Elephas maximus indicus: one gene and its partners. The main gene of each other region encodes a partner of the protein of the gene in region 2 in a complex. Links are inferred from orthologs where the notes say so. Each region holds a gene or a part of one and is shown on either strand. Other genes may lie near its edges.

The links.
Region 1: the proteins of GDF5 (region 2) and HJV are in contact, whole or in part, in a crystal structure (PDB 6Z3L), measured with the Homo sapiens proteins. The link is inferred for Elephas maximus indicus from reciprocal best matches to the Homo sapiens genes GDF5 and HJV. Residues at the interface, in NP_000548.2 of Homo sapiens: Met412, Trp414, Trp417, Phe478, Asp480, Ser481, Lys488, Tyr490, Met493; in NP_001366281.1 of Homo sapiens: Arg95, Arg98, Gly99, Leu101, His104, Ser105, His108.
Region 3: the proteins of GDF5 (region 2) and RGMB are in contact, whole or in part, in a crystal structure (PDB 6Z3J), measured with the Homo sapiens proteins. The link is inferred for Elephas maximus indicus from reciprocal best matches to the Homo sapiens genes GDF5 and RGMB. Residues at the interface, in NP_000548.2 of Homo sapiens: Leu396, Arg399, Phe435, Pro436, Leu437, Arg438, Ser439, Asn445, Val448, Ile449, Leu452, Ser455, Met456; in NP_001353437.1 of Homo sapiens: Gln57, Thr60, Phe63, Val64, Thr67, Ser68, Leu70, Asn71, Tyr88, Leu103, Val104, Ser107, Ala108, Leu110, Gly111, Ile112, Asp114, Leu115, Gln118.
Region 4: the proteins of GDF5 (region 2) and TWSG1 are in contact, whole or in part, in a crystal structure (PDB 8BWL), measured with the Homo sapiens proteins. The link is inferred for Elephas maximus indicus from reciprocal best matches to the Homo sapiens genes GDF5 and TWSG1. Residues at the interface, in NP_000548.2 of Homo sapiens: Glu434, Phe435, Pro436, Ser439, His440, Glu442, Asn445, Val448, Ile449, Leu452, Ser455; in NP_065699.1 of Homo sapiens: Cys26, Lys28, Cys31, Ala32, Ser33, Val35, Ser36, Leu39, Ile40, Cys44, Gln45, Cys46, Arg47, Cys73, Val74.

The regions. Positions count from the first base shown.
Region 1 is NC_064821.1:157,530,316-157,537,085, reverse strand, and holds HJV (hemojuvelin), read right to left. Parts: upstream 2,699-6,770; coding exon 2,602-2,698; intron 2,199-2,601; coding exon 1,633-2,198; intron 1,137-1,632; coding exon 513-1,136; downstream 1-512. UniProt on the Homo sapiens protein: Acts as a bone morphogenetic protein (BMP) coreceptor. Through enhancement of BMP signaling regulates hepcidin (HAMP) expression and regulates iron homeostasis.
Region 2 is NC_064843.1:34,001,207-34,008,900, forward strand, and holds the start of GDF5 (growth/differentiation factor 5), read left to right. Parts: upstream 1-4,679; 5' UTR 4,680-5,019; coding exon 5,020-5,644; intron 5,645-7,694. UniProt on the Homo sapiens protein: Growth factor involved in bone and cartilage formation. During cartilage development regulates differentiation of chondrogenic tissue through two pathways.
Region 3 is NC_064820.1:106,507,353-106,515,347, forward strand, and holds the start of RGMB (repulsive guidance molecule B), read left to right. Parts: upstream 1-4,992; 5' UTR 4,993-5,390; coding exon 5,391-5,529; intron 5,530-7,995. UniProt on the Homo sapiens protein: Member of the repulsive guidance molecule (RGM) family that contributes to the patterning of the developing nervous system. Acts as a bone morphogenetic protein (BMP) coreceptor that potentiates BMP signaling. Promotes neuronal adhesion.
Region 4 is NC_064829.1:13,965,573-13,973,364, forward strand, and holds the start of TWSG1 (twisted gastrulation protein homolog 1), read right to left. Parts: upstream 3,001-7,792; 5' UTR 2,827-3,000; intron 1,870-2,826; 5' UTR 1,722-1,869; intron 284-1,721; 5' UTR 247-283; coding exon 124-246; intron 1-123. UniProt on the Homo sapiens protein: May be involved in dorsoventral axis formation. Seems to antagonize BMP signaling by forming ternary complexes with CHRD and BMPs, thereby preventing BMPs from binding to their receptors.

The DNA of each region.
Region 1 (6,770 bases), on a different chromosome or scaffold from region 2:
CTTCCCTGTCAGGGACTGTAAATTTGAAAAGTGGCTTTGATTCCTTGGGAAGGTGCTGTAGGGTTGGGAGAGAGACAGATGCCAGCCATAGCAAGAAGCAGAATCTTTGATGTGGTAGAAAGACGTGAAATTGTTCACATGATCTGGTAAGAAAGGTTGGTACCAGGCTTACCTTGCCTATTGGATAATCTGCCCCTGATAAGGACCCCTTAACCACTAAGCCTGTACGGATGATCTCAGGAGTACGTGGACTGGAACAATCTGCTCACTATAAAGAGAACTGAGAAATTTGGTGAAAAGCCCCTAGAGAAGTGTGTAATGCAGAGTCTTTGCCCAGAATTCTTATCCTGCGATCACTTCAACCTTGGTCTACAGCCTCATCTGACTCTGGATAAATGCCATTGTTTCAGGTGTCTCCAAGTTCCCACTGGTTCCTTAAGTGTTTATGTTCTTCCCTGACAATCCATACTGCCAAATTGTTCCCAAACTAGTCATGGGATTGCTGGCCTAGTTTATTGAATGCAAAGCCACAGAACAAAGAGCCCTGAAAGGAATGGGGCTGGGAAAGTTGCTGAGGCGAGAGGAACTCCAGCATCTGAGGGGAAGAGATGCAGCTTCTCTAAGTCTGGTAGGAAGGCTCGGGCATCCTCCAGAGCTGTCTGAGCTGCCACAGTAAAGTTGGGGTCACCAGAGATTAAAACATCAAAGACACAGGAATGGAAGTAAGCATCTTCAACTGGCAACCCTTCCTTGCACAGCTGTCTGGCAGTATCAATGGTTATAGCTCCCCGACGATTGCGCTCTGATCGAGAGAGTCGCTGACTTGGGGGGCACCCTCCCACACAGAGCTGCAGGTCCTGCTCAGCTGAGAAGGCCCTGGCGACCTCCTCAGCTACCTTGATGGAGAAGGAGAGCTGCCCAGCTGTCTGCCGAATGATTATGGTTGTGCCAATATAGGCAGCTTGGATCTGCACATGGCTCCCAGGGTCAGCAGTTTGAATGGACAAACTTGAGCCCCCAGGTCGGTCACCTCCATTGATAGAACCGTCTTCAAAGGCTGCAGGAAGATTGTCCACTTCAGCCTGGTAGACCTTCTGGTCAATGCATTCCTGCATGTTCTTAAATATGATGGTGAGCTGTGAGGACAAGAAGAAAAATAGTTCATTTTGCAATCAGAGCACCCCTCCTCAACCCAATCAGGCCTCATAACATAGTCAGGGATCTGATCCAGGCTTATGTGCAAGGCTTATCATGGCCCTCACTTCTTGATCCCTTCTCCTATATATGTTCCAATATCGCCGCATTGCAATTCAACCCCTCCCTTTCTTTTTTGGTGCCAGTCTCAGCAACTTCCACAGGAGAAAAATTTCCCTTCTGAAACTCCTCAACACAGGGCTGCTCAACTCTCCTTGTCCTAACTTTCTTTTTAGTGTTTTCTGGGTTTGAGTGAAATCCCCATCAAAGGAAAGTGATTTACAGGAGCAAGTTGATTCAAGATGGAGGAGTGGTTATGAAGGAAAAGGTGCAGGGAGCCTTGCGGTGGAATAGTGAGGATAGAGAGGGAGTGGTATCCTGAGGGGACCATGAAAGGCTTGCATGAGTTGGGTCGGGAGGAGCAATTGAATTCCTGACCTTCCGGGTGGTGGTGGCGTTGGCCCCCCAAGCCACTGGGGAGCTGGTGGCCTGGACAAAGAGGAAGTCGTTATCTAGCAGGGGCCAAGCTCCTTGGACACGGCAAGTGTGAAAGTGGTGGTGGAAGCTGCGCACGTGGGGGTCCCCGAAGGAGGCGCAATGTAAGAAGCCCGGGGGACGACCGTGAAGCCGGGAAAACCGGCCTTCATAATCACAGGGGTCCGGGGCTGGCGGGCCAGAGGAGCGGGCCGGGCCGGAGCCCGAAAGGGCGGGGTCCCGCGGCGGGGGCGGGGCCGTGGGGCCCTGGCGGGAGCAGTTGTGCTGTATCATCAGGTCTTCGATTCCGTGCACCGCCGAGTGGAAGGCGAGGTCCCCTCGGCAGGTGCGGGCCGTGCGCCGAGTGCAGAGTGCGTAGGAGCGGAGGGCACGGCACAGGCCGCTGGAGCCCACCCCTCCTGCCCGGCCTCCTCCTCCTCGAAGCGCTCCTGGTGAACCGCCTCTTCTAAGGCTCAGGGTGGACGATACATACTCAGCGTTGCACCGGAGGATCTTGCATTGAGAATGAGCTGAGGGCGGAAGGAAGAGGATGGTGAGACTGCTGCCAGACCTCCACTTCACTCAAGTATTCCTGTAACTCTCCCACATGTCATTAGGGGATTCCAGCCATTCCCAAAACCCAACTGAGGGCCTTCTCCAGCCCACAGCCCACAGCCCACAGCCCACAGCCACCTAGTCCTGTCCTCACTCAGCGTTACCAAAACTGTGTAGGCCTGCTACATTTCTGTAGACCAAGGCTTCCCCAGTGCCCTTCCACAAGCTGAGTGAGAATTGAAATACACCAACTTGAGAATGGGGGGACTCCTTAGCACCCGTCTCTTCTCACCCACACATGCTCACGTAGTCCCTCCACCCCCCTACACAGAGACCTACCCTCTAGATTTCCCCAAACCCTTCCCTGGCCCTCCTTACCATGTCCACAGAGGAGCAGCAGGAGAGTGAGAGTGCTTAGAGTTGGGGGACTGCCATAAGGGGACCGGGGACTAGGGGGCTGCCCTGGATCCCCCATACCTATCCATCCAGGTCCCCCCAGGCTCCGGTTCTTTCCAGCTGATGACCCTCCTACCTAGTGAATTTTGACCAGACGTCCTGTAAGGGACTGAAAAAAGAAATTTGGCTGGGCATAGGGGAGAAAGAAGAGTTGAAGATTGGTCAGAGTTATGTGAAGAGAATCAGAGAAGATCAAGAAAAGGATGAGAGGACCAGAGTTTGGGGAGAATGGGCCTCTCCAATCTTTAAGAGTGGCTGCTAAGCCTGCATGCCCCGCTGCTGTGGCCACTTTCATGTCTCTTGTGCAATACCCCTGGCTGGGGGTGGAGGGAAAATTGAATGGACTCAGGGGGCAGAGTCCACTGTATTGACCCATCCTGAGCTACCAAACAGTAAAAATGTCAAAAATTGAAGAATCATAGGAATAGATCAGATCCTGGTCACCCCAGTGGATGCTCCAATAGAATTTGTTGCTGTTACTGTGTGCTAGCGAGTTGATTTTGACTCATAGTGACTCTATAGGACAGAGTAGAACTGCCCCATAGAGTTTCCAACATTGTAATCTTTACAGAAGCAAATTGCCACGTTTTTCTACTGTGGAACTACTGGTGGGAACCGCTGACCTTTCGGTTAGCAGCTGAGAGCGTAAACACTGCTTTACCAGGGCTCCTTCCAATAGAATTAGGATCTGAAAATACTTCAGCAACTACTTATTTGCCCCTCCCTATTAGGAGGGGACACCCTCCAGGAGCCATTCATTTCTTTTCTTACTTTGTGTGAGAATTTCCAGTGAGAAGGGGTAAGGGTAGGATACCTGTCTCTTTTCTAGAACATCAGTATTCAAATGAAAAGAGAACCAACCCTTTTCATCTGCTCTAGGAGCCCTGGTGGCGCAGTGGTTACGCATTTGGCTGCTAACCAAAAGGTCGGCAGCTGCTCTTGGAAACCCTATGGGGCAGTTCTACTCTGTCCTATAGGGTCGCTATGACTATGAGTCGGAATCGACTCAATGGCAATGTTTTATTTTTAAAATTTTTTTTAGATAGCCGCAATTATAATCCCTCCCTCTCATGGAATAATGAGAAACAAACCAAGCATGTGAATCACTATTTGTTGTTTTTTGAGTCAACAGTTCTTGTGTTTTTCCAAACCTGACTGAAAAACCACTTTTCCCATTATTCTTCCCTTTGCAAATTCAGAAAGTTCTCAATCCCTCTTTTGATGAGTATGGGGTTTGGGGAAAGGCCAGCTCTTTCCTGCTGAACTCTCCTCTCTTGGGGTAAGGATATGATGTGGGAGAAGAGTCAAGTAGGAGGGAGAATAGGATGGAGAGACTAGAGTTGTGGGGAGAAATCACTTACAAGAGGTAGCCACACCCTTGGAAACACAATGTGAAGGGCACTGATAAAAAGTAGGGACAGGGTGGAAGGGTGTCAGTGACTAAATCATAAGAGGCTAAATTTGGCCCTGGTGAGAAAACCACAGAATGGAGGGTGTGGGGACTCCTCTCAAAACTTCTTCAGAAGTGTAGAGGTAGAAACTAAGGAGGAAGTGAAGACTGCCAGAGGAGAGAAGGAAGATTAAGCTTCAAATGGCCAGAGGCCGGAAAGAAATAGAGACACAAGGAAAAATGCAGATTGAAGCACCTTGGTATGGGAGAGATCCTAGTTTTCAGACCAGTGACCCTCAAGTAGGCATCTGTGGTTTTACAAAAGTCTAACTTCAGTCCAAAAGCTTATTAAAGCAATTGAAATTTCATTTTGACTTACTGTTTCCAGAGGTCAAACATTAATCTGCTATCCAATTCTCCAGCCATGACTGCCTACTCTGTTGGTCAGCTCCAGCCAGGGGGTCCCCCGTCTCTTTCTCCATATCTCCCACAGGTCTCTAGCCCAGCTGCAATCTCACTGAGGTCAGGGAGACAGGGAAGGTTTGGTGTTGGGGGAAGGGGGAGTATATGACTGGTCAGAGTACTGGACAGCTGGGCGGGGGAGGGAGGTGGCTACTGAGTTGACGGTTTTAAAAATAGCTAAGTCCAAAATTCCAGGAACGTTGGTGGGGGTAGAGTGTGGGTGTGGGGGGAGTGGGGAGAGTAGGATTAGGGAGAACATGGAATATAGGTGCCAAGGCGGGGGAGGGGGAGGTGGAGGAGAGGAGGAGAAATATGACAGGCAAGTCAAATGGCCAATTCCAGCTTATATAACTCTATAGTCGCTGCCTACTCCAGGCAGCCCTCCAGCATTCTCGATAATGAGCTTCTGGCCTTGGAAAATTGTAGTGGGAAAATGGATGCATTTCCTTCACCACTTTCATCCCTGCTATGTTGAATATTGCATTCAGTTTCTATAGATAGTACCTGGGAGGTAGCTCGCTTTAAATAAAATCTATGGCCGATGAAGCCACAGCCCCTCCCCCATCTTTGCAGAGTATTTTAGTAGGACGAAAAAAGCCAGCTGTCCAGAGAAGAAATCTGAGCTCGGAGTTGTTTAGGATGAGGGTTTGTTCAGTCTGTCCAGCTCAGATCCCTGCAGCTGTCTGTCACCCCACCTCCTCCATTTCCATTCCCATTCCCTTAGCTTGGGCAGCAATTCCGTCTCATTCCACCACACGGATACACAAAGAATATAGCCTTGTGAGCTGCTAGTGGAAGAAGGCTAGGAAAGGTAAAGAGGTGAAGACAGAATGGAGATGGAATTTTTTCCCCTGAGGCTGCTAATCCTCAGGGGAGGGAAAGAGAGGGAGTGGAAATCAATCTAGAGCCTCTGCAGTCAGAAGCATTATTACCTATTAATTTAGAGAGAGAAAACATTAAAAAAATTCAATCACCTATTAAAAATTAAGAATAATAATGAACATAAAACTCTTCAATAAGTGTGACAAAAGATGAAAAGGTACTTTGATTCTGTATGATGGCCGGTGAAAGGTGAAAGACAATGAAAAAAATTATTGACAAAAAGGAAAGAGACAGAAGCAGAATGTCAGAAACACAGTGACTGATGTGGAGAAATGAACCGAGAGGAAAGGAAATTCAGAAAGATATTTTTGTGGAGTAACATAATCTTTTGACCTTTTAAAGATATTACAACCAAAGAATTTAGCCGTGTCATGTTTTTTGCAGCCCTAGGCATATCTGTGATCATCATCCCTTAGTACTTGCCAAGTGAAATTAACACGAAGGTTGATTCCAAATAGTGTCACTAAGACACCTATACCAGTTGGCTTTACATTTAATTCAGAATCTAGAGGCCTGAACAATGCTCTTCATATGTATAAGGAGCTAACACATTTTTTTTTCTCCACCATATCATGAGGAGTTTTATTATAATAATATAAAATGCTCCCAATCAAACTATTCAAGTGACTTTAAAACACAATAATTTGATTGTGACATCCCAAGTGGGGTACACCCTACTGATAAAAGAAATGCAAAAATATCTTAAAGTAGTCATATTGTTGATGGTAGTGTTGATATTGTTATTCTGAAACTATTGTGGGTTTATTGTGGGATAAAACAAGTAAGTAATAATGTTAGGGTCTTTGAGAAATGGAATTTTTGGTATGGGATAAAGATATAGAGATTTATGAATAATGAATTTAAGTGAAAGTCCTGTAATATTTTATTTAAATTGGAAGTCTAACTATGAATTCATGGTGTATTTTATCCTAGAACATGTTTCCTGAAAAAAGGCCTAGAAATAATTACCCAACAGCAATGAACACTATTAGTGTCCAAATTGTGCTATCTAATACCATTTTCCACTAAAAGGAACTAGGCTAATTTCAGGTTTGGGGCAGTAATTATCCAAGATAAGCAAGGAAGCTTTCAAAGACTATTAGGATTGTATCAAAAGGACTCAGAAGCCAACTAGAATAGGTCCCACTGGCCAAGGTGGGGGCAATTTGAGCATCAAAAGGAATAATATTTACAATGGATTGAGACATATCAAATATGTTCAAATCTCTAAGTTTACAATGGTACTTTAAAAACAAAAACTCATTGATCATCATTGCAGAATGCTAGGGATCAACTCATTATTTTGAAACTGCTAGTAATGTGAAACATTCAAAATTTATCCTGCTTTTTGTGTAGG
Region 2 (7,694 bases):
ACAACCGCTACCACCTGAAATGCTCATCTCCCAGACCTTTTATATGACTCGTTCCCTCACTACATTCATATCTCTACTCAAATGTCAACCCCCTCAAAGAGACATTCCCTGTCCAGCCTATCTAAAATGGACACCTCTTTGACCCTGCTTAATTATTCTTTATAGCATGTACCGTTCTCTGAACATATGCATGGGTTTGTCTCTTCCACCAGCATGTAAGTATAGACTTGGTTATCTTGTCCCTTGCTGTATATCCAGTGCTCCAGCCCGGGGCCTACCACATGGTACCTATAAACCCGTTGCCATCGAGCCAATTCTGACTCATAGCAACGCTATGGAACAGAGTAGAACAGTCCTATAAGGTTTCCAAGGAGTGGCTGGTAGATTTGAACTGCTGACCTTTTAGTTAGCAGCTATAGCTCTTAACCACTACGCCACTACACCCAATAAATATTTTCTGAATAATTACTACATGAACGAAAACTTAAGATCATCCAACTGGCAAGTGGCAGAGCCGGGACACAAAGCCAGCTGTCTGGCCCTAAAGTCTCTACACTTAGCCATTGTACCAGGCTGGACTAGCCCAAAGAGATCCTGGGAGGTTCAGACAGAATAATGAATGTGAAATCACCTTGAAAACTGTTAAGTGCTTGAAAACAGCAAGGGATTATCATTATTCTGTTTACTGTTTGCTCATCTATGGAATGGGGATAATAATACCCTGCCCTACTGACTTTATAAGGATGTTTTGTGGGGTTCCAGTGAGATAATGGTTGGGGAAACATTCATAAAAGTTAAAGGCTCTATATCATGGAAGGAACTCTAAAGATTATTTCCATGCCAGTGGCTTCTCTAGGCTCCCATCCTCTGCTTCAAGTTTGACATTAATATTGCTGACAGCCGAGGGGGAGGTGAGGGAGACTCGAGGGACCCAGGGACTCTGCGTCCCAGTAATTAAACATGTCGGGACTGAACCACTGCCAAAGGCAGCATCTGGTTGCAATTACCAGAGGGGACCGAAGTGATTAGTCACCTTTATAGTGAGAGCCAGGCAGGTCCCCTGGGCTCCTCCCTTGAGAAGCCCTTCTAACTAAGCTAAGAGTCCTCTTACCCTGCTCCTACCCATTTCTAGGGATGCCCTGGTCCTCAGGCAACAGTCTCTAGCTGAGACTGTTCTATGTCCCCAAAGTCCCAGCCCACTGAATGAGTCCTTCATTGAAAATCAAGAATATTGTAGCTGCCTCCCCCTCGCCCCCCTTTCAGTTCTTCTTGTGTTTCTAGAAGCCAGGTTAAGATTCTTAGGTATGGAATATGCTGAAGTGGGAGTTAGGCTAAAAATAATTTAACCTCTCTGAACTTCAATTTCTTCATCTTTTAAAATGGGGGTATTAAGGGTGCCTTCACCATTTTTTCACCATAGGGTTGTTATGAAGATAAAGGTAAAAATGCAATGAGAAAATAGGCCAGAGTCTAGTTTACTACAATAAATGTTCGGTAAGTAATAGCTATCATTATCATTTGCCAGGTGCTAGGCTAAGAAAATTGTATTTTACGTGCACACAGCTAATTAGGTTCCCTTTTAACAATTTTTATACAAATTGTTCAATACCATTGGTTACAATTTTTACAGTGTGTCAGCATTGTCATTATTTCCATTCTGTTTGTTCTGTTTCCATTGGTCTAGCTTCCCTTTCCCTCCTTGCTTTCTCAATCTTTGCTTTTGGGTAACTGTTGACCGTTTGGTCTCGTATAGTGAACTGTTTAAGGGAGCATATTACTCACAGGTGATATTGTTTATTTTATAAGCCAATCTGTTATTTGGCTGAAAGGTGATCTGCAGTAGGCTAATCACTTTTTATGATTCATTAAATTGTCACAAAAACCCTGTAAGTACTGTCATGATCCCTGTTAGAGTTCCAGAGAGGTTTAGAGACTTCCAAAGATTGAACAATGGGTAAGTAGCAGAACCAGGCTTCAAGATCAGGTTTGGTGGTCTCTAGAGCCCTTGCTCTTTTTCAGACTATGTGCAGGGACATCTTATTTGCTTAACTCCTTCCTTCATTCTTCACTCAGGCTTACAAAGTGCCTAATAAATAAGCTAGGCAGAATCCCTTTAAAAGAACTCAGAGTCAAACGAGAAGGCATGATATGTCTGCAAGTAACTATACTTTAAAGTAGAAGATGGTGTCTTTTATATATAAGGGCCAGTTAGAGTTTCATTCATTCATACAGCACATACTGAGAATCTGCTATGTGCCGGGCCTTGTGCCAAACACTGGGAATAATGATTTCAATGAAAATATTGAAAGAGAAATAAGGTACAGTCTAGTCACAATCTAATGGGAGAGATATATAAATAAATTATTACAGTTAAAAGGAATTAAGTTGTGATTTTAAAAAAATAGGAAAAAAGTGCAGACAGAGGGAGAAACGAAGTGTGTTAGAGACAGGAGGCAGCAGCAGACTGGATAATCATTGAGCTGCCAAAATGAAAAGGGGCACGGGACATATGTGGCGACAATTCAGAAGGAATGTGCATTGGCTGGGGGAGGGAGAGGGCTTCACGGAGGAGGTGGCTCATGAGTTGGCTCTTTTGCAGTGGGTACGTTTTAGGTAGAGGGAGGGTTGCAGCAGGAAGGACCTGTGGAAACAGGCCTAGCCACTCTGACAAGGTGCAGTTCCCAAGGATCTCTGCTGGGGGAGCCATTGAGAGCTGGCTTGGGGAGAGATCCTGGAGGCTTAGAAGCCAGTTATAGTAGGACAAGGGGGGAGGAGGACTGAGACAGTGGGGGAGGCAGTGGTTGGAGAGGAGGGAGAAATGCCAAAGATACTGGATATGACTGGTTATGTGGGTCATCAGTGAGGTGCCAGTGAGATAATGGATGGAGAAACAATATCAAAACATCAAAAGAGAAGCCAAGAGTTGTGAACCTGGGTGACTGGAGTGACAATAATTAATTCAGCCTTTCTTTTAGTTGTTAGTTGCCATCAAATTGGCTCTGATTCCTGGAGACCCCGTGTATAATAGGATAAAATGTTGCCCAGTACTGTACCATCTTCATGATCATTGGTATGAGTCTATTGTTGTAGGCCATCCCTAAAGCTCCCCCGAAGAGTGCCTGGTGGTGCACTGGCTTTCACAGATAGGGCAGTGAAGTTTCCTGATCTAAGACTACCAGAGGAAGCTTGGAAAATGGCCGAGTGGTGCTTCTGTGCTCGGATAGCCTCTGAGGACCTGGGGACGTCACTGTGAAAAGACTGGTCAGGCAGCCACTTGGACACCCTAGGCACCGGCTGGATCTTATTTCATTCATCAAATACTAAGCTTCTGGTCTAGGCTGGGCTAGGTGGGGAAACCAATCTGGTGACCTTGGAGTGCAAATAGACCTGTTAGACAAGCTCGGAGAATCTCAGATTGAGAAGGAAGCCTACCTGACTACTGCTTTCTACTGCTGCTGTGACTCTGACAATGTGACAAGTGCTGTAGAGAGATGTACAAGTGAGAGTGATTGGCGCTGTCTGGGGGTCAGGGAAGGCTTCCCAAAGGAGGAGAAATTCAGCTGAACTTCTCAGAATGAGAAGGACTTCCTCCAGTTGTGAGAGTGAGAGAATGATATTCCAGGTGAAGGGAACCGTTTCCTCAAGTGACTTGTGGTGAGTTGCCCAAAGGGTCTGTGGGGCAGTCTCCCCAAAGGAAGGGGCTTCAGCATTTCAATAAGGCACTTGAAGAAACCCTTGAGTCGGCTGTAATTCAGACTTCTTCCAGAGCTACGAGAAAAGCAGTATGTGGGAAATCTTTTTTCCAGCCTCCTGAAGGGGCCGCTGCTGCCCCAGCTTGTGGCTGCTGCCCCAGCTTATGGCTGCTGCCTCTGGACTCAGCCAGTCCTTTCCAAGAAAACTCTGAGGACGTCTTTGCTGGGGTGATGGTAGGGTACACCCTAGACCTGCTTGCTCTGAGGAGTGGGCTCAGGGGTGGTAGTGCCCCTGAGCCTGAATAAATAATCTGAGCTCAGTCAATGGCATTTGTGGGGGAGGGGTGTAGTGGGCATTGATAGTTCCCTGTCTCTGGGTCACCACAAGTTTATTAAAATAAAAGAAACTGTGGGTAAATGCTGCCATCTGTGCTATCCCCCCCCCCCCCCCATCAAATCAGGCCCCAGACTAGACGCAGGGGCTATAACTGCTTTGAAAACACTCCAAGGACTTAACTGAAAACCCAAACTCCCCGTGCTTCTGGGGCTTAAGATCCTTGAGTTCATTCCTCAGCATCTCTCCTTAGGAAGGTGGGGTGGGCTGTTCCGTGGGGTAGAGGTGAAGACCCCTAAGTCTGCTCCACGGACTGGGAGGCCCCTAAGTCTCAAGTCCCACTGCGGGGCTCTGTGCCAAGAGCCCCCGTGAGCCATGGCCTCGAAAGGGCAGCAGTGATTTTTTTCACATAAATATATCGCACTTAAATGAGTTTAGACAGCATGACATCAGAGAGTAATTAAATTGGTTTGGGTTGGAATTCCGTTTCCAATTCCTGAGTTCAGGTTTGTAAAAGATTTTTCTGAGCACCTGCAGGCCTGTGTGTTTGTGTGTGTGAAGTGTTTTCACTGGAAAGGATTCAAAACTTGGAAAAAAAAAAAAAAAACTGGAGCACACAGGCAGCATTACGCCATTCTTCCTTCTTGGAAAAATCCCTCAGCCTTATACAAGCCTCCTTCAAGCCCTCAGTCAGTTGTGCAGGAGAAAGGGGGCGGTCGGCTTTCTCCTTTCAAGAACGAGTTATTTTCAGCTGCTGACTGGAGACCGGTGCACGTCTGGATACGAGAGCATTTCCACTATGGGACTGGATACAAACACACACCCGGCAGACTTAAAGAGTCTCAGACTGAGGAGAAAGCCTTTCCTTCTGCTGCTACTGCTGCTGCCGCTGCTTTTGAGGGTCCACTCCTTTCATGGTTTTTCCTGCCAAACCAGAGGCACCTTCGCTGCTGCTGCCGTTCTCTTTGGTGCCATTCAGCGGCTGGCCAGAGGATGAGACTCCCCAAACTCCTCACTTTCTTGCTTTGGCACCTGGCTTGGCTGGAACTGGAATTCATCTGCACTGTGTTGGGTGCCCCAGACTTGGCCCAGAGACCCCAGGGGGCCAGGCCAGGATTGGCCAAAGCAGAGGCCAAGGAGAGGCCCCCCCTGGCCCGGAACATCTTCAGGCCAGGAGGTCACAGCTATGGTGGGGGGGCCACCAATGCCAGGGCAAAGGGGGGCAGTGGGCAGACAGGGGGCCTGACACAGCCCAAGAAGGGTGAACCCAAAAAGCTGCCCCCCAGATCGGGTGGGCCTGAACCCAAGCCAGGACACCCTCCCCAGACAAGGCAGGCTGCAGCGCGGACTGTGACCCCAAAAGGACAGCTTCCTGGGGGTAAGGCACCCCCAAAGGCAGGATCTGCCCCCAGCCCCTTTCTGCTGAAGAAAGCCAGAGAGCCCGGGCCCTCTCGAGAGCCCAAGGAGCCGTTCCGCCCGCCCCCCATCACGCCCCACGAGTACATGCTCTCTCTGTACAGGACACTGTCCGATGCTGACAGAAAGGGAGGCAACAGCAGCGTGAAGTTGGAGGCTGGCCTGGCCAACACCATCACCAGCTTTATTGACAAAGGGCAAGGTGAGGGGGCGGGGTCGAAGGGGCATGGCTCTTGAGGGAGGGGCATTGGCCGCATGGAGGGGCTTTCAGAGCCCTGACACTGCACTGTTGGGAGACGGTATGTGCATCTGGCCTGGGGTGGGTGTCTGGGACTTGCCTCATACGTACCAGATCCTGGGCTGATGATACGTCAGAGCTGGAGGGCACGTAGGGATCGCCAAGACCAATTCCTGCAAGATGCAGAGGGGGTCACTGAAGCCCAGAAAGAGACGAGACCTGCTCAGGGTCACACAGCCAGCCGTTGGCAGACTTGAAGACCAGACTCCAAGATCCTTGATTGCCAAGCCATGCTCTGTACCTATGTGCGTTGGCTAAACTTTCCAGGCTCCAGGGGTTTGTAGGTTTTCTCAGATGGCAGAGAGAGAAATGAATTTCTAAGTGGTTTCTCAACTTTGCCCTCAGGTTAGGGGGCAGAGGAGGCAGGGTAGGTGAAGACAGTAAATGGGGCATCTTGGAGTTGTGGAACTATGTTTAGATGTATTGGGAGGCAGGAGACCTAGGGTCTAACTCGCGATGTGACCTCGGGAAAGCCCTTTTCCCCTGAGGTCTCAGTTTGCCCATCTCTACAGCTATGTAGAGGTTGGGATGGAAGATTTCCGAGAACCCTTCAAATATGAAAACTTTATGTCCTGTCCTGACAGTGGAACACAGATAATTTTCATCATTAATCCAGGATACCTGTTTCTCTCATTTCTCCCCTGCCCACTGGGTGTTAGTGTCTTGGCTGCTTTTCTAAACTTGCTGTGTGATTTCAGCAAGTCCTTTCTCCTACCAGGGGCTCAGTTTCTCCATAAGTGTGAAGAGGGGGTTAGACCAGCAGACTGGTAAGGTTGCTCTCAGCTGACATGCCCTGCTTCTGGAAGTCTTAGGACTTTGGCTGGCGGGGTGGGGGAGGGGTCAGAGAGTGGGAGAGGCTCCTTATTAGAGCTGGCCTGTAGGGGACTGATAGGGGGTTGGGTAGGGGAGGCACCGAGGCAGCAGGTCTGGCTGAGGTGGGGGAGGTGGCCTGGCTGTCTGCCCAGCCAGGGAAAGCTGTGACCCCTTGGGGGCTCATAAAATAAGTCCTGTGCCCCCCAACACTAAGGGAGTTTGGGGAGGGGGGATGGGGGAGTTTAAAGGCCTAATTAGTTAGCTTCTAGAGAATATATGAAAGCTCCCCGATAGTAAATTGGAATTTTGGAAGGAGGCATGCTGATTTGTACATACTATGGAGCCTTGTACACACTCAGTCTTACAGTTTTTCACAAATACAGAATCATACACATACACACACACAGAGATACTTCTTACATACAGGGATCATACACACCCTTGAAATGTTCATACAAGCCCAATTATACATACACATAAACACCACATGCATTACCCTTCATATTCGCATATGAGCCCAATCATACACACACACACACACACCGTCACATATACACCCTCACACACTGAATAGGGTAAAACACATATACAACAAAATCATTAGACTGGGAGGTTTGGGGAAACTGGACTGTAGACCAGTTTTGTCATTAATTCACTGTGTGACCTTTAAGCAAGCCACTTGCCCTCTCTGTGTCTCATCTATAAAGCGAGAACACCAGGTCTCTTTTAAGTATAGTAGAAGCAGCTCAGGATTAGATATAAAAAGTTCTAGGCTACAGTTCCAACTCTGGTATTTTTCTAGCTGGGTGACCTTGAGCAAGTAACCTAACTTCTCTGAGCCTCAGGTTCTTACTCTGTGAAAACTGGGGAAATGATAATACCCACCCCACCTACCTTACAAATGAGGTATCTAATTAGATAATGGCTGAGAGAGGGATATATAGAAGGTAGTTATAAAAAAATTTTTTTTTTTTAGTTATAAAGTTAATGAATCTCTGATAAACATAGATCATTGACAAAAGCACCCAGAATCACAAAGAACCACTCAGATCGTCGATAGCCATGTCTACAGATAAACACCCCTACTTGGTCTGCTGGGTAGGAAGATCCTTCATTTCGAAAAAGGCTCTCAGCCGTTTAT
Region 3 (7,995 bases), on a different chromosome or scaffold from region 2:
CCTGCAACTCTGATGGAAGAGACTCGTTCCTCGAACACTCGTGGGTTTGTTTTTTTAGTAACACACTTAACCCGGGTCTTAAGTGTCTCCCCTCGTTCTTCGCAAACGTTTATCCCAAGTCTTCTTAAGCTGTACGCTCGAGTCACATTGGCACCTTAGATGGGCAGGAAAGACCGCTGGATTGCTTACTTGGACAAAAGTCCAGAGGATCGTTCCGGCCCCCTCTCCCATATTTATACACACTAGGAAAAACCCCAAAGATCATTTGTAGAGAGGAAGGTGTGTATTTTGTGATGCTGGTGGACAGACAGCTAGAGACCGGGGAAGGGAATGCAGGGCGGGGGCGCATCTGTCTCCTAGCCGCCGGGTGAGAACAGCTAGCACGCTCCCTACCTCCCTGCCCAGGCGACCGCTGGCATGGTCTCCGGCTGGGAAAAGGCAGCGTGGCGGGCTGTGAGGACCGCACGGAGGGTGGCGCTGGCGGCGTGAAAGGCGTCTTTGTGCAGGATGAGAGCAGGTGGGGAGTGGTGGGAGAGGTTAGCGCTGAGCAGGGACCTCGAGGCGGGGGTCTGAGGCGCAGCTACACCCGGCAGCCGCACTGGAACGTTCCGGGTGGCAACGGCAGGGGGCGGTACGGCACTGGCAGGATCCAGGCCCGGGGCCTGACGTCCCTGCTCTGTTTGGCTGTCTTTGACTCAAGAGGGGGGAGAAAGCAGCTTCGAGGAAGCGGGTTTGGGAGGGGGGGGATTAAGAGACTTGCCTCCCGCCCCCTTCCCTAGGTGGCGGAGAGCTTGCGCTGGCTGGAACTGCGCAGCTGGTCGTAGGGCGCTCGCTCCGGAGTCTGGGACAAGGGAGAGCGGCCTCCAGGCAGAGCCCCCACTCGCCCCGGGCACCGCGGCCCCCACCTGGGGGAGAGGGGCGGGCGCGGTGCTGCCCTCCCTCTGCGTCCTGGCCGCGTGGCTTGTGGCTTATTTTCCCAGCTGGCAAGCGTCGCGCTGCAGACAAGGGAATGCCTGTGGTGAGTTGTTTATTTTTGTTGAAGTTTGCGGTGGGCCGGGGGACGTGGGGGGCGACCGGCAGGCAGCGACCGGGACTGTTTTGTTTAGGTCTCCATCCACCTGTGTGGTATAAATCTGCCAGCCTCAGGGCGGTGGGGGGCCAGGGCGAGAAAGCCCTGTCTCTCCAAAAGGCCCCTTTTCGCCACTTGCAGACCTGGGACCACTCTTGATTCTCCACGCCTGGAACCGGCTAGATCCTAGATTACGCTGCCCCTATGCCCACCCGCCCCCCCATCAACGCTTCCTGCACCCGTTGCGGACAGGGCTGGCGATCCTAAGGGACCTGGGGAACAGCTGGCCATTGAAGCTCCTACCGGGTGCCCTTCCCGGTTCCTTGAGGGGAGGAGAGTTGAGATTTTCATGTGATGGGGCGCCTGTGAAATTGGTGGGAACTTGTTCTGGCGACTTCTCCTAGAGCTGCGTGAAGTTGGTTCAAGGGTGTCAGTACTACAAACTGAGATCCCGCGTTGGCCAGAGTGTCCTAAACTTGTGGGGAGGGGGTAACCAGTTGGCTCCTGGGGAGCCCAGAGGACCCTTCTCGGGAGGGCGGGGGGGGGGCCTGATGACAGTCACTGCTGCGGCTGCATTTGCCTAAAAAAAAAAAACCCTAAATACATTAGAGAGCTGGTAAAGCTTTTAAGGTCTTCTTGGGAGTGAGTGGCTGGCTAATGAGAGGTTAATTTTGTTTCGAAGGGAAGGCTGCGCTGGTTTCCTGAGATAAATGGACAGGAAGCGCATTACCTCCGCGCGCTGGCAAGCGGCTCCCAAATGCTTTTTGCACCTGCCACTTTGAGCCGTGCGAGCCGCGGCGGAGCCCGCAGGGATCGCGGAGGCCGATTGTGTACGTGCGGGTGATGAGCCCCATGCACGCTCCGGACCCTCTCCCTCTGGGGGCACAGCGCTCAAGCCGGGCTCTGTTCTCTCACACTCAGGTCTTGCGCCCCACGATCCCGCAGAGACCCCTGCAGGAGCGGAAGGGTTAAGAATGATGTAAGTACAAACCGAGAGCTGCTTGCCGCCGGGTTGTCCGACCCCAGGCTGTTTCAGCCCCTGCTTTGCGAACACCGTGGACAGGGAGCCCTTATTCTAGAATCGGTTGCACTAACCAAGACCCTGGGTCTGATTCCCGGTTCCTCTGACACAGGAGATGTGTTAAGCAGACAGACCTTCGTGTAATCTGGAAATGGAGATACATTAAAAAAAAATAATAATAACAGGGGTGCAATTAAGACATCGCGAATAGGTTCAGGAAAAGAAACCACATCTTGTTTAGCATCCATTTAAGATTCTGGCATGTGTTTTAATTTTATCCACTTGCATGTTCATACAGTGGCATGCTTTCCTGGGTTCCCTGAAATGTCCTGCTCTGATCTCATCTTTCCTTCCTGAAAACAAAGACGAAGGAAGAGAGTACAAACGGCAAGTAACAGGGTGGATTTGTGAGTTGTAAAAGCCATAACTCACGACTTTTTTTTTTCTGATTAAAATGTAAAACGTGTGTTTAAGTCATCGATTTTTTTTTTTTATTGTGCTCCAGCTCCCTCCCCAGACTTTTATTTGTAGAGTCTGAAATCCTCCTTAATCTTCAGCACAAGAGTGTAAGGAGTGGTTGCGCTATAAGCGACCATTCGCCGTCCTCTTCCTTTTCAAGATGGTTCTGATCTAACAGTCCGAATTTACCCCGCAAGGGTCAACTGATCTAATGTCTTGACACTTGAAAATAGGAACCACCTTGTGGTTTAATTGTGAAAATTAGCATTTTCCTCTAGCCGGCTGAACACTTATGCAGCAATAAAAAGTAAATTGTTAGGCTTATAAATCTTGGGCTTGTCAAATTTTCCAACAAAGGACCAATAATAAAGCACCTTAGAGGAGATGAAGTTTTTTTCTCTTAAGAATAGTTCCGTTTTACCACGCCAGGATTTGTAGTGACCCAAGGGCGCCCTCTATTGATAAGAAAATCTACAGCTCCCGTGTACTTAAGGAACAGGATATGGGGAGGAGGGGACGGTAAGGAGAGAGGAAGGGGAAAAAATCACGGAAAGTCACAGGCAAAAAACTCACACCAAGCTGTATTTATCCTTGACTCTGATTATAGGTTTTGAAGTATGGCCAGTAAGGTGGGACGATTCTTTCATAAGGGTCGAATTAAAACTTGGGTTAAGGAAAAAGAAATCGCATTTTACTGTCAGTCCTTGTTAGCAAAATGCTTTGAAAAACAATGTTCATATTTGATTAGTTTTGAAAGTTTACTAGTATTTTATTAACTTTATTATGTGTAGTAATTGCAAAAAAGTAAAATTTAGCTTTAATAGTATTTAGTCCATAGTATTTTTTTATTATCAAAATCCTATCTGATGATGCCTCCTCTAAAAAAGTCATTTCTCCAGGCAACTCTGAAGCTATTATTAATTATATTCATATTATGAGTATACACAAGGCTTGGATTATATCTTGGACACCAAAAGGTATGTTTACCACTTGAGTCATCGTTGTATGTAATAAGTAAGCAGTGAAAAGTTACAGTAAAAATAGGTAGACATCCTTTGTTGGGGACCTAGTGGTTTGAGCAATTCACGTGTCTAATGCGTGAACTAGTGGGACCGGAGGATTGCCCTCTATTATCCTGGTCTGTAGATTATTGTAAAATGTGCAATATTAACGTGTCCGTGGTTGATACGGAATTCCTAATTAGAGATTCTGAGTAATGTAGTGTCCGTAAAGCTGCATACAGCGATTTGGATGTAAGTGGATTTAAAATGGCAGCCCTGAGCTGTCTGGGGAACAGCAAAGGCAAGGGTAGTGTGAAGTGACTTCTAGTTTTGAGACCATTCTTGAGATTAGATACCACTTCACACTTACTTACAACCAAATTGGACCCTATCATCAATCTCACAGCTGCTTTACTGTTTCTCCACTTGGCAGCCGCTTTCCTGGAAGGCAACTGGGTGTTTTATTCCCCCCCCCCCATTTTTTTGGACACCTCCAATATCAAAAATAAAAACTGACCTGCCCTTGAATTAATTTGCCAATAGAACAGTGGAAATTTATAGAAAAGCCACTGAATAACAAGTCGTGGTATAATTATTCTTCACTGCACAAAATCTCACCTTCATTAATCTAATTATACTGTAACCTAACACCTTAAAGTTTGCCCACTCCCAGACCCCTCCCCGCCGCTTTACAAAAGGGAAAATATCAAAGAAACAAAAACACCAAAGCTTCATTCAGCTACTAGCGAATTCCACCAGGAGCTCGCGGACACCTTCCCAGTCCCATCCGATCTGCCCTGGACTGCGGGTAACATTCTGATTTCCCAAGCGGCTCGGTGCTTGTTTTACACAACGTCGCATCAGGCTCGGAACGCGGTCCCGAGAAGTGATAGGCTGCCGGAGACCTGCCGCAAGGCGCTCCATGAAAGTGCCAATTTCCTCCAAAGAGCTAGAGCCGGAGTAAGGGGGCGGAGGGAGTGTAATCAAAAAAAAAAAAGAAAAGAAAACCTTGAAGGGAAGTTGAACTCTACCACATTAATTCAAGGAGAGGTCAAAGGCCGGTTTTTTCGTAACGCCGGCGAGGTACAGAGTTACCGTCGTCTGTTTCAATTGGGTGCGAAGAAACAGTAAATCGCGAAGTGGGCGGACGGAGAGAAGGGGAGGGAGAAGGACGGGGTAGGGCCCGGGCGCTGTAGACTGGATCCGCAGTCGGAGGCCAAGGAACTCGAATTACAAGGAGCAGGCGGGAGGCAGGAGGAGGCGTAGGGGTGGGCACTTGGGGCCCTGCGAGTGGCGGGCTAGGCCCGACGAGCGCTCACAGCCAATGGGGCTGGAGGGAGGGGCGAGGCCGGGGGCGGGGACGGCGTGGATTGGTGGGCTCGGGCAGGGCGGGGCAGCAGTGCGGGTCCGAGATTGATTGACCGCGGGGGGCGCCGCGCAGAGACACCGAAGCCGCCGGCGGCTGCTCTCAGTAGCGGGGTGCGCCTCCCGTTGGTCCACGCCCGCGCTCACGCCCTTCGAGCCCACGCTGGCCGGGGCGCCCGCGTGCTCTGGGCGGCACTCGGCACTCGCTCACGGTCTTTGTGTCTTCTCTCCCGTCCCCCTCCCCGCGCCCGCCGCGATGCCGCTGCGCCCGGTTGCCGCCGCCGCCAACTCGCTCCACCCGCGGCGCGCTGCTCGCTCCGGCGGTGGCGGCGGTCTGTCTCCGACGCGGGCCTGAAGGAGGAAGAAGAGGAAGCGAGGCGCGCCCCCCGGCCCATGCAGCAGCCACGGCCGCGGATCTGCCACGGCGCCCGCGCCGCCGCCCTCGTCGGAGCCCACGAGACCTGCATGGACGGGCATGGGCTTGAGAGCAACACCTTCCTGCGCCGCCGCCGCCGCTGCCGCCGGGGCTGAGCAGCGTCGCCGCCCCCGGCCCTGCCCGCCGCCCCTGGCGCTGCTGCTGCTGCTGCTGCTCAGCCTCGGGCTGCTCCACGCAGGTACGAGGCGTGCGGGGGGGAGCCAGCCCAGGTCCGGGAGCTTTGTTCCCAAACAGCCTCCGGTCCCGAAGCCATCGCCGCGGCGGAAGACGGCGTGGCGGACGGGAAAGGCCTGCCGAACCCTGGCACGCACCTTAGCGGAGCTCGCTGCCGCCGGCGGGCGGCGCGTCCTGGGCGCCTGAGAGAGGCCCCTTCCCTCCCGCCCGGCTTTGGCACCTACCGCTGATAAATCTTCCCTTCAACAGCCGCTTATCAAAGATCTGATGGGCGGGGGCTTGGGCTCTGCGCGCCCGAGACAAACGTTCCGGTTGCTTTATTGCTCTCTGCATTGGTGTTTACTGAAAGTCAGGCTCGGATCAGGTTTCCGGCGCCGCCGCCGCCTCCTCGGAGGAGAGACTAGGAGCCTTGTGCTGCTTCTCTGGAGTTGGGGGAGAAAGGGGTGGAGGCGAGGCGAAGGAATCGCACCAGATGGAGAGATTTTAGCTAGAGTTTCAAAACCTGTGGGTTAATCTCGAAGTATAACCAAAACTTCTTTTGAACAGGGATTTCCTTCGTATTTGCAAAAGCTGCTTTTAATTCTTCTTTCAAGCTCTCTGGCAAAACTCGTGCTTTGTGGCTAGCCGCGTGTTTTCGGGATGTGGGAGAGGTTGACAGATCTGCTGCTTTCTGGAGGTCGGCGCTTTCCTTGTGGAAGCAGCAGTGTGCAACCTCTTTAGCGAAGGGAGCCTGGAGATGAGCCTTACAGCCTGTGGTACTTCCTATTTTCCTTTTAAAAACGTTCCGTTGAAATCTAGGGCGCTCTTGACAAAGCAGTGTACCACTTCTTTTTAGAAGTTTACGTAGACAGAGAATTTTTTGTAATGCCAGAACTGAAGGGGAAACATCTTCTAATTAGACAACAACCAGAACATGAGGTAAATTTATTTTTCTTCGAGGTGTTTTTGCCCTGTATTTGTTTGACAGCAGTCACGGCGCTCTGATCTGCAGAGTCCTGAACTTTCATGCCCCCCAAACCCCGATTATTTATAAATGATTAAAAATGGAGTAAATTTTATTAAGTCATACCAGGCGTGCTAAAAATCAAGGAGGTGTTTTAAGTAGAGGGAAAATGTGTGGCATCTGAGGAGACAACTTCTTTTACTTTGCATGTGGCGTAACAGCTGCATTTTAACACTTGTCACTTGGAGGAATATAGACTGAAGTCTTAAAGTGCAATAGCAAGTTTTAGAAAGATTAAGGCTTTTAATTCATGGTTTTAGAACCTTAGAAAATAATGGCTGTCTGCTTACAGTTACATAGAGAATGTTTCTTGATGTATCAAGATGTATCCGGCGTGTTTTGTGTGAAAAATGTATGTCTATAGTACCCAAGTATAGGTTTTGTGAAATGGGAATTGAAATGTTAGGCAGAAGTGTTTCCCCTTGGCTACTTGGATATTGTTTTCCGTAGTTGCCATAGGCTCCTATGACAGGATTGGAATGTGGTCTTGAAGATTTCTTTGCTGCCCTGTGAAAGCTTAAGAAGTTGGTTTAAAGATTTAAAACACTGAGGTGCCTTAGTTCAAGAGCTTGGAATTTGAAACTCTTCTTAGTATTTCAGTGTGTCCTCGACTAAACTCACCGTTAGATTTAACCTGAAGTTGCTGTGTTGAGTGATTTCTATGGACAGCTTGTTGGAGTGGAGCAATTGTTCTGGTTATAGAAAAGGGCTCTTTTTCAGAGATTTCTTTAAAGGGGGATGTTATTGAAATGCAGGGGTTGTCTCCTCAGAGCAGGGAGCCCAGCTGAGTGCTCTTTGCAGATGGACTACCATACGTTTTATGCCGGGATCTGTATCATTTGCCTCAGCACCCCATATGGCTCCACATTTCACTTTATCCAGCTTTAACGTATCTCATTTCTTCTATTATAAACTGGTGATTGTACTGCACATTCACACGTGCGGTCCTGGTGTTGAGAAACACCATCTTGAATGGTGAAGCTTTTATGTTTGAATCACGAGTGAGAGCTGTAGACTCACAAATCCTTTAGCACTTTCATTAGCTGCAATGAAAATATCACATTGATCATAGATGACCTGATTCATGAAATAGAGAAATCTGAGCTGCAAATTTTGAATCCTACCCTTGGGAAGTGGAAAGAGTGCTTTTATTTACCTTTTTTTCCCCTCTTAAAGCAAATCTCTGCAATTTCTGGTTGGAAATCCCGTATGGGAGTTACTTGCTTACTCATACAAACTTCATGGCCTTTTTGGCTACATCTTTGTAGTTCTTTCTGCTCTGCATTGTCTTGGCATTCTGGCAAGAGGTTTACTTTACTGCCTGTAACAGGCAAAGTGTGCATTGTCATTATAAATTCATGAAGCCTGGATGTTTCTGGGTGTATACTGCAAATTAGTCATACAGGAGCTTGCAATGGGGCTGAAACTGCTGACCCAAACAACACTTTCTCTCTCCAGTTTGTCCTT
Region 4 (7,792 bases), on a different chromosome or scaffold from region 2:
ACATCCTGTGTCTGACCTTGCTTGTATCCAGACCAGCGTGTCACAGTATAATACGTCAGGCCTCAAATTTATCTGCTCTTCACCACACTGTAACATTTTTTAAAAAGGTACTCTTCATCCTACCTGAATGAGGCATTTGCTCACGTCACTAGCACAGAGCGCTTTGTTACAACTCAGTGACACAGGGACCCCCATCAGGAACATCAGGATGGCTAGAGTAAGCAGGACCACATAGTGTGACTTCATGTTTCTTCACAGAAGACAATAAACAACTCCCAGGAAGCTAAATAAACAAACAAAGAAAAACAAAACTTTAATTCCAGGACAGGTGCTAGGGTAAAACCAAATACAAAAACGAAAGACAAAACCAATAAACCAAGACACCTTGTTTGTGGCAAAAGACTTCTGAGAGATCATTTAAAATCATTCTCAATGAAAGAGTATTTAAACACTCAGAAAATAAACAACAATTTTATATTGTAATGTCTTGTTATCTATTTTTCAAGACGTAGGGTACTAAAATTCCTCAGACCACTCAGAAACAGTGACTGTGGAAGTTATAGTTATATCTAAACCCTAAGTAACCTGAGAGTATATCAAGCAAATAACTAGTTTCAAAACTGCACTGCCACTGTTTAGCTTTAGCTTTAGCTCCACTACTCTGGGTAAGCCTTCAGCTGCTAATCAAAAAGATGGCAGTTCAAATCCACCAGCCGCTCCTTGGAAACCCTATGGGGCAGTTCTGCCCTTACCTATAGGGTTGCTATGAGTCGAAGCAGACTCGACAGCAATGGGTTTGCTCAACTTTAGGGGCCCTGGTGGTGCAGTGGTTAAGCGTTTGGCTGCTAACCAAAAGGTTGGCAGTTTGAATCCACAAGCCGCTCCTTGGAGACCCTATGGGTCAGTTCTACCCTGACTTATAGGGTTGCTATGAGTTGAAACAAACTCGACAGCAATCGGTTTACCCAACTTTAGGGGCCCTGGTGGTGCAGTGGTTAAGCACTGGCTGCTAATGGAAAGGTTAGCAGTTTGAATCCACGAGCCGCTCCCTAGAAACCCTATGGGGCAGCTCTACCCTGACCTATGGGACCTGTGTGTCAGAATCGGGGGCCTGGGGGCTTTTTTACTCAACTTTAACCCCATATAAAAACTACTAATTTTGTACTATAACTTTAAAACATTTAACAACGTTTTAATTCTTACAATTAAAACAAATTTTAAATGCAAATTCCTGTAGTGATTATTTATGACTATCTCATTTTGTCTCCCAACAAAGTCAGCCAGAATAAAACAGCTCAAAGAAAGGAGTCTGCAAAATCAAACACTAAATAATTCAGCAAATAACAAAGGAGATAATATATTATTAATTGTATTAAGAACTCTAGATAATTTATTAAAATACAAAGACACTCTTTTAATTCTGTTAGTACCATAGATTCTTCTAAGGTATTACCAAGATACTACAGTTAAAAAAGAAAAAGAGACCAGCACAAATTCTGACAGCAGTTAAATAGCCAACGCAGTTATTAAACTTTATACAGGAGAAGATACAACTCCTTGGGATTAAAACACACACCCAAAAGATAATTAAAATAAATGAATATTTATCAAAGGATAAAAGGTGGGTTTATGCTTTTACAATTACCTTAAACCTTTATTCTAAGTATAACCAAGCACAATAAAGCAAAAGCAATTAGGCGATGAAATAAAGGGCTCAGTACCTGGTATGACTCAATGTGGAAAGAGAAAGCCCTGGGGATTGTTACTGGGCCCGAGAAGCATTCCCCTAAGACCGTTAGCACCTCAATTTCGGTAATTTAACAACACACACCAAGTCGGATGATTTGTGGAGGCCAACAAAAAGGACCACTAAAAAAGGGAAAGAAAAAAAAAACCTTTAACGGTTGTCCTGTGAAGTGTTTAACAAATGCTACTCCCAAGATCTCAGTGGAAAACGCGTTCATTCTTGACGTGGGCATGTGCAAACCAGGCAAGAGAATCCTCCAGCTCTGCGAGGCTGCCCCCCAGCCCGGCCGCCCCCCCCCGCGAGCCCGGCCGCCGCCCCCCCCCCCCCCGAGCCCGGCCGCCGCCCCCCTCCAGCCCGGCCGCCGCCCCCCTCCAGCCCGGCCGCCGCCCCCCCCCGAGCCCGGCCGCCGCCCCCCCCCCCCCGAGCCCGGCCGCCGCCCCCCTCCAGCCCGGCCGCCGCCCCCCTCCAGCCCGGCCGCCGCCCCCCTCCAGCCCGGCCGCCGCCCCCCCCCGAGCCCGGCCGCCGCCCCCCCCCCCCGAGCCCGGCCGCCGCCCCCCCCCGAGCCCGGCCGCCGCCCCCCCCTCCAGCCCGGCCGCCCCCCCCTCCAGCCCGGCCGCCCCCCCCCGCAGCCCGGCCGCCGCCCCCCCCCGCAGCCCGGCCGCCGCCCCCCCCCCGAGCCCGGCCGCCCCCCTCAGCCCGGCCGCCCCCCAAGCCCGGGCGCCCGGCGTCTGCTCCCTCGGCTGCGGCCCGCGGGGCGCCGGGCCACGGCGCTCGCTGCACAACGCCGGCGGTCTTCGCCGCAGCCCAGCCGGCCCGAGGCGGCGCCCGGCCCGGGGATGCTGCCCGGCCTCTCGGCGCCCGGCCCGGCCCCGCAGACCCCAAGCGACAGCACCCCACTCCTGTCCCCCGTCGGCGGCCAGGCCGCGAGGAGCAGGCGCGACTCCGCGCCGGAGCCCCCGCCCGCCCGCACCCTGAGCCCGAAGCCCGAGCCCGAAGCCCGAAGCCCGAAGCCCGAAGCCCGAGCCCGAAGCCCGAGCCCGAAGCCCGAGCCCGAGCCCGAGCCCGAGCCGTACGCTCACCGCGGCTCGTCCCCGGGCAGCTCCGACCGAGCCCCGCGCAGGCTGTGCCAGAAGGCTAGGCCGCGCCTCCGCGCCGTCCCCTCCGCGAAGCGCCCGCGAGCCTCCAGCGCTTGAAAGGGACAGGCCCGGCCGCTGCCCGCCGCCCCGGTCCGCCACTCCCTCTGGCCCAGCCGCCGCCAGCTCCCGCCAGTAAGAGTCTCTCACCCACCCCGCCCCCGGCCGCGGCCCCGCCCCTCGCCCGCCGCGCTGGCCCCGCCCCGGCCGCGGCCCCGCCCCGCCCGCCGCGCAGGCCCACCCCCGGCTCGTCAGCGCCCAAGCTTGCCCCTCTCCCCAGGGGCACAGCCCCCGGGGTTTCCCACGCGCACCCTGGTGGGGAGCTGCTCACCGCTCCTTTCCTGGACTCTGTTTCTCACCTCAGATCGAGTTTCTTGGTCTCATAACCTAGGCCCCAGCAGACCCTTCCTGTCAGGTTCTTTTCTCCGAGTACCCTCTGTAGAGCGTTGTGACCAACACTCTTCGGGAGCCGTCGTTGCGCAGTGGCTAAAGCAGTGGCACCCACCAGCCACTCCGCGGTAAAGATTTACAGCCTTGGAAACCCTGCGGGCAGTTTGGCGCTGTCCTCCAGGGTGGCTGAGTCCATAGCGACTGAACGGCGGTGGGTTCAAGCGCTGTTCTCTACGCTGAGACTGTTACGTGCAGGAGCTCACTGAAGCCACCTGAGAGGTTATTATTAGCTCACTGTCAACTTGAAGGAAACTCTGGTGGCCTACTGATTACGTGCTACAGCTGCTAACCAGAAGGTGGGCAGTTCAAATCCGCCAGGCGCTCCTTGGAAACTACGGGGCAGTTCTACTCTGTCCTATAGGGTCGCTACGAGTCGGAATCGACGCGACGGCACTGGGTTTGGTTCTTTTCCGTATAGACTTGAATCACTGTAGACATGAACATTCCTCAGTGCGTCATACTGTGGTTGCTCGTGTGTTGCTATCAAGCTTTGGAGCCGGTTTGTTCTGGTTCGAACCCCTGCTAATAATTTGCATTTCTAACAAGTTTCCAGGAAGTTATACATAAAAATCACCCGGGAATCTGTTAAAATGTAGATTATGATTCAGTATGTCAGGGTGTGGAAATGCATATTCTCTGTAGGGAACTTGTTAGAAATGCAAATTCTTGGCAGGGGTTTGAACCACAGATCTTCCAAACTAAGACAGACTAGGATCCACTTCCAAAATTTAGGCACAAAATCCCTATGAATCACAGCAGAACATTGCCCAATTCATTTGCTCTGGATACATCACCAGGAGAGATCAATTACTGAAGGAGGACATCATGTTTGGTGACAAAGATGGTCAGTGAGGGTGAGGGAGGCCCTCAGCGAGATGGATCGGCACTATAGTCACAATGGTGTTGTTGAACATGTCGATAGTGGTGATGATGATGCAGGACCAGGCAACACTTGTACACAAGGTGGCGGTGAGTCAGAGTTGACTGGATGGCAGGTGTCTGTCTATTCAGTTACAGACGTGCAAGGCCGAGGCACAGAGGGGTTAAGTAGCCTAGCCAATAAAGTAGCAGACAGGACACTTGAACCCTTTTATTTGACGTCAGAGGCAGGACTTAATGAAAACGCAGGTTTCTGGGGTCCACCTGAGACCTACTGAAGGAGGACTGCCGATGGTAGAGCCTTCCAAGCTTATATCCAAACCAAACCAAACCCATTGCCTTCCAGTCGGCTCCAACTCATAGCAACCCTATCAGTACTTCATTAAATCTTACTGGGGTTCTTATTTTGTGCTTGGCCCGGTGCTTAGCATGGGAAATATGGAGGAGGGAGCACCACAGGGGCTACTCCAGGAAAAAAAAAAAACTCCAGGGAGACGGATAAATTCAGCCATTAAAAAGTGATGCCATAGATCAAAGCTTCTCAGACTTTTTGGTCTCAGGACTGCTTTACACTCTTAACAGTTATTGAGGACTCCAAAGAGGTTTTGTTTCTGTGTGTTACATCTATCAATATTTATCACAAATGAAACTAATTTTCATTTAAAAAGAACAATAAATTCATTGCATGACAAAATGATTAACAGTTTTATGAAAAATAAATACATTTTCCAAAATAAAAGAAAATGGGAAGAGTGCTATTGTTTTCTACCGAGAGAAAATGCTATTTCAGCAACAGATATTTGCAAAAGATTTTTTTTATATTTACGCTTTGTAAATATCCCCTAAGTTTTCACAAAATTCACAATGTACCTGTGATTCACTGTTCCCTACCAAATTAGGTCCAACCTCCTTCATTTAATTTATTTAAATTCTTCATTAATTTATTATAGCTTTTTTTCCCCCTGATTACAGAACTAATACACATTTGACTAGGGAAATTCCAAATATTATAGAGCTTCACAATGTAGATAGTGAAAACCTCTTGCCATTTTATCCCCCAGATAATGCTACTAGTAAGAGTTTCGTGTATATTTCGGCTTTTATTAAAATTCACATATGTTAACATATATTTGCAAAAAAAATAAAAGTACGTTAAGCATGCTGGATTGCTTTTTTCACTTAGTATATATTTAGGACAGCTTTTCATGCCAGTATATAAATGTGCAAAGACCTGGAGTTAGAAAAATAAAAAGGAAGAACATGATCTGCATTTCTCAAGCTGAAAGAACTGAAAAAGAAAATTCAAGATTCAAGTTGAAATACTGAAGAATTCTGTGGGTAAAAAATTAAATGATGCAGGAAGCATAAAAAGAAAATGGAAGAAATATGTACAGTCATTATACCAAAAAGAATTGGTTCACATTCAGCTATGTCAGGAAGTTGGATATGACCAAGAATCTCTGGTACGGAAGGAAGGAGTTCAAGTTGCCCTGAAGGCATCGGCAAAACCGAGGCCACAGGAATTGACAGAATACTGATTGACATGCTTCAAGAAACTGATGTAACGCTAGAAGCACTCTGTCATCTGTGTCAAGAAACTTGAAAGACAGAAATTTTGCCAACTGACTGGAAGGGATCTATACTCATGCCCATTTCAATGAAAGATGATCCAACAGAATGCAGAAATTCTCAAACAATATCAGTAATAGCACATGCAAGCAAAATTTTACCGAAGACAATTCAAAAACAGCTACACCAGTACATGAACAGGGAACTGCCAGAAGTTCAAGCCAAATTTGGAAGAGGACATGAAGAGGATATCATTGCTGATGTCAGATAGATCTTGGCCAAAAGAAGAAAAAAAACACAAATAAACATCTTTCTGGTAATCAACTATGTGAAGGAATTCGACTGTGTAGACCGTAACAAATTATGGATAACATTTTGAAGACTGGGAATTTCAGGACACTTAATTTTTTTTTAATTGTGCTCACGCAGAACCTGTACATGGATCTAGAGGCAGTCATTTGAACAGAACAAGGGCATATTGTGCAGTTCAACATCGGAAAAGGAGTGTGGCAAGGTTTTATCCTTTCACTTTGCTTATTCAATTTGTATTCTGAACAAATAACCCAGACTGTATGAAAAACAGGGCATCAGGATTAGAGGAAGACTCATTAACAACTTGTGATATGCAGATGATACGAACTTGGTTGCCAAAAATGAAGACTTGAAGTATTCACTGATCAAGGTCAAAGACTATAGCCTTTAGGACGGATTACACTTGTAAAGCAAATGAAAATCCTCACAAAAATAAACAACATTATGATATATGGAGGAGAAATTGAAGTTGTCAAAGATTTCACTTTACTTCAATCAACAGTCAACGTTCGTGGAAGCAGTCAAGAAATCAAACAACGTATTGCATTGGGCAAATTTGCTGCAAAAGGCCTCTTTAAAATTTTCAAAAGCAAAGATGTAACTTTGATGACTAATGTGTGCCTGACCCAAGCCGTGATCTTTTCGGTCACTTCGTAGGGTTGCTATGAGTTGGAATCGACTTGACAGCAACAGGTTTTCGGTTTTCTTATGCGTGTGAAACCTGGACAATGAAAGAGGAAGATAGAAGAAAAAACAACGTATCCAAACTATGGTGTTGGCAGAGAATTTTGTATGTACTGTGGACTGCCAAAAGAACGAACAAATTGGTCTTAGAAGAAATACAATCAGAATGTTCCTTGGATCTGAGAATGGCTAGACCTCAACTTGCTTACTTTGGACACACCATCAGGAAAGACCAAGTCACCTCAATGAGATGAATTGACACAATAGCTACGATAATGGCTTCAAACATACCAGTGACCATGAAGATGGCACAGGGCTGGGCAATGTTTCCTTCTGTTACACCTAAGGTCACCATGAGTCGGAACTGATTCAACGGCGGCTAACAACAATAATGTGTAGATCTGTATCATTTTTTGAAATTTTATTCTGCTGAAGTATATAACAAAAAATTTTCCGTTTTAATCATTTGTAAGTGTATAGTTCAGTGACATTAACTACTTCACCACGTTATGCGTACATCATCAGTATCTACTTCTGAAAGTTTTCCAAATGGAAACTCAGTGCTCCTTCAGCAATACTCCCCCCTTCTCTTCTTCTTCCTGGTAACCACTGATAAGCTTTTGTCTCTGTGCATTTGCCTAGAGTAGCTATTTCATATAAGTGGGCTCATACAATATTTGTCCTTTTTTGTCTGATTTATTTCACTTAGCATAATGTTTTCAAGATTCATTCATGTATTAGAAGTATATTTCTCTTTATGGCTGAAAATATTCCACTGTATGTGTATACCACATTTTGTTTATCCGTTCATCTGTAGAGAAAATTTTAGCTACTGTGACTAACGCTGCAACGAACGTTGGCATACTGCAACATTTTTAAAAATAGATTTTATTTTTTTAGAGTAATTTTAGGTTTACATAAAACTTAAACGCAGAAAGTACAAAGAGTTCTCATTTCCCTCCTCCAGCTGCACACTGGTTCTCCTGTTAACATCTTGCACTCCCGTAAGCATCAATCT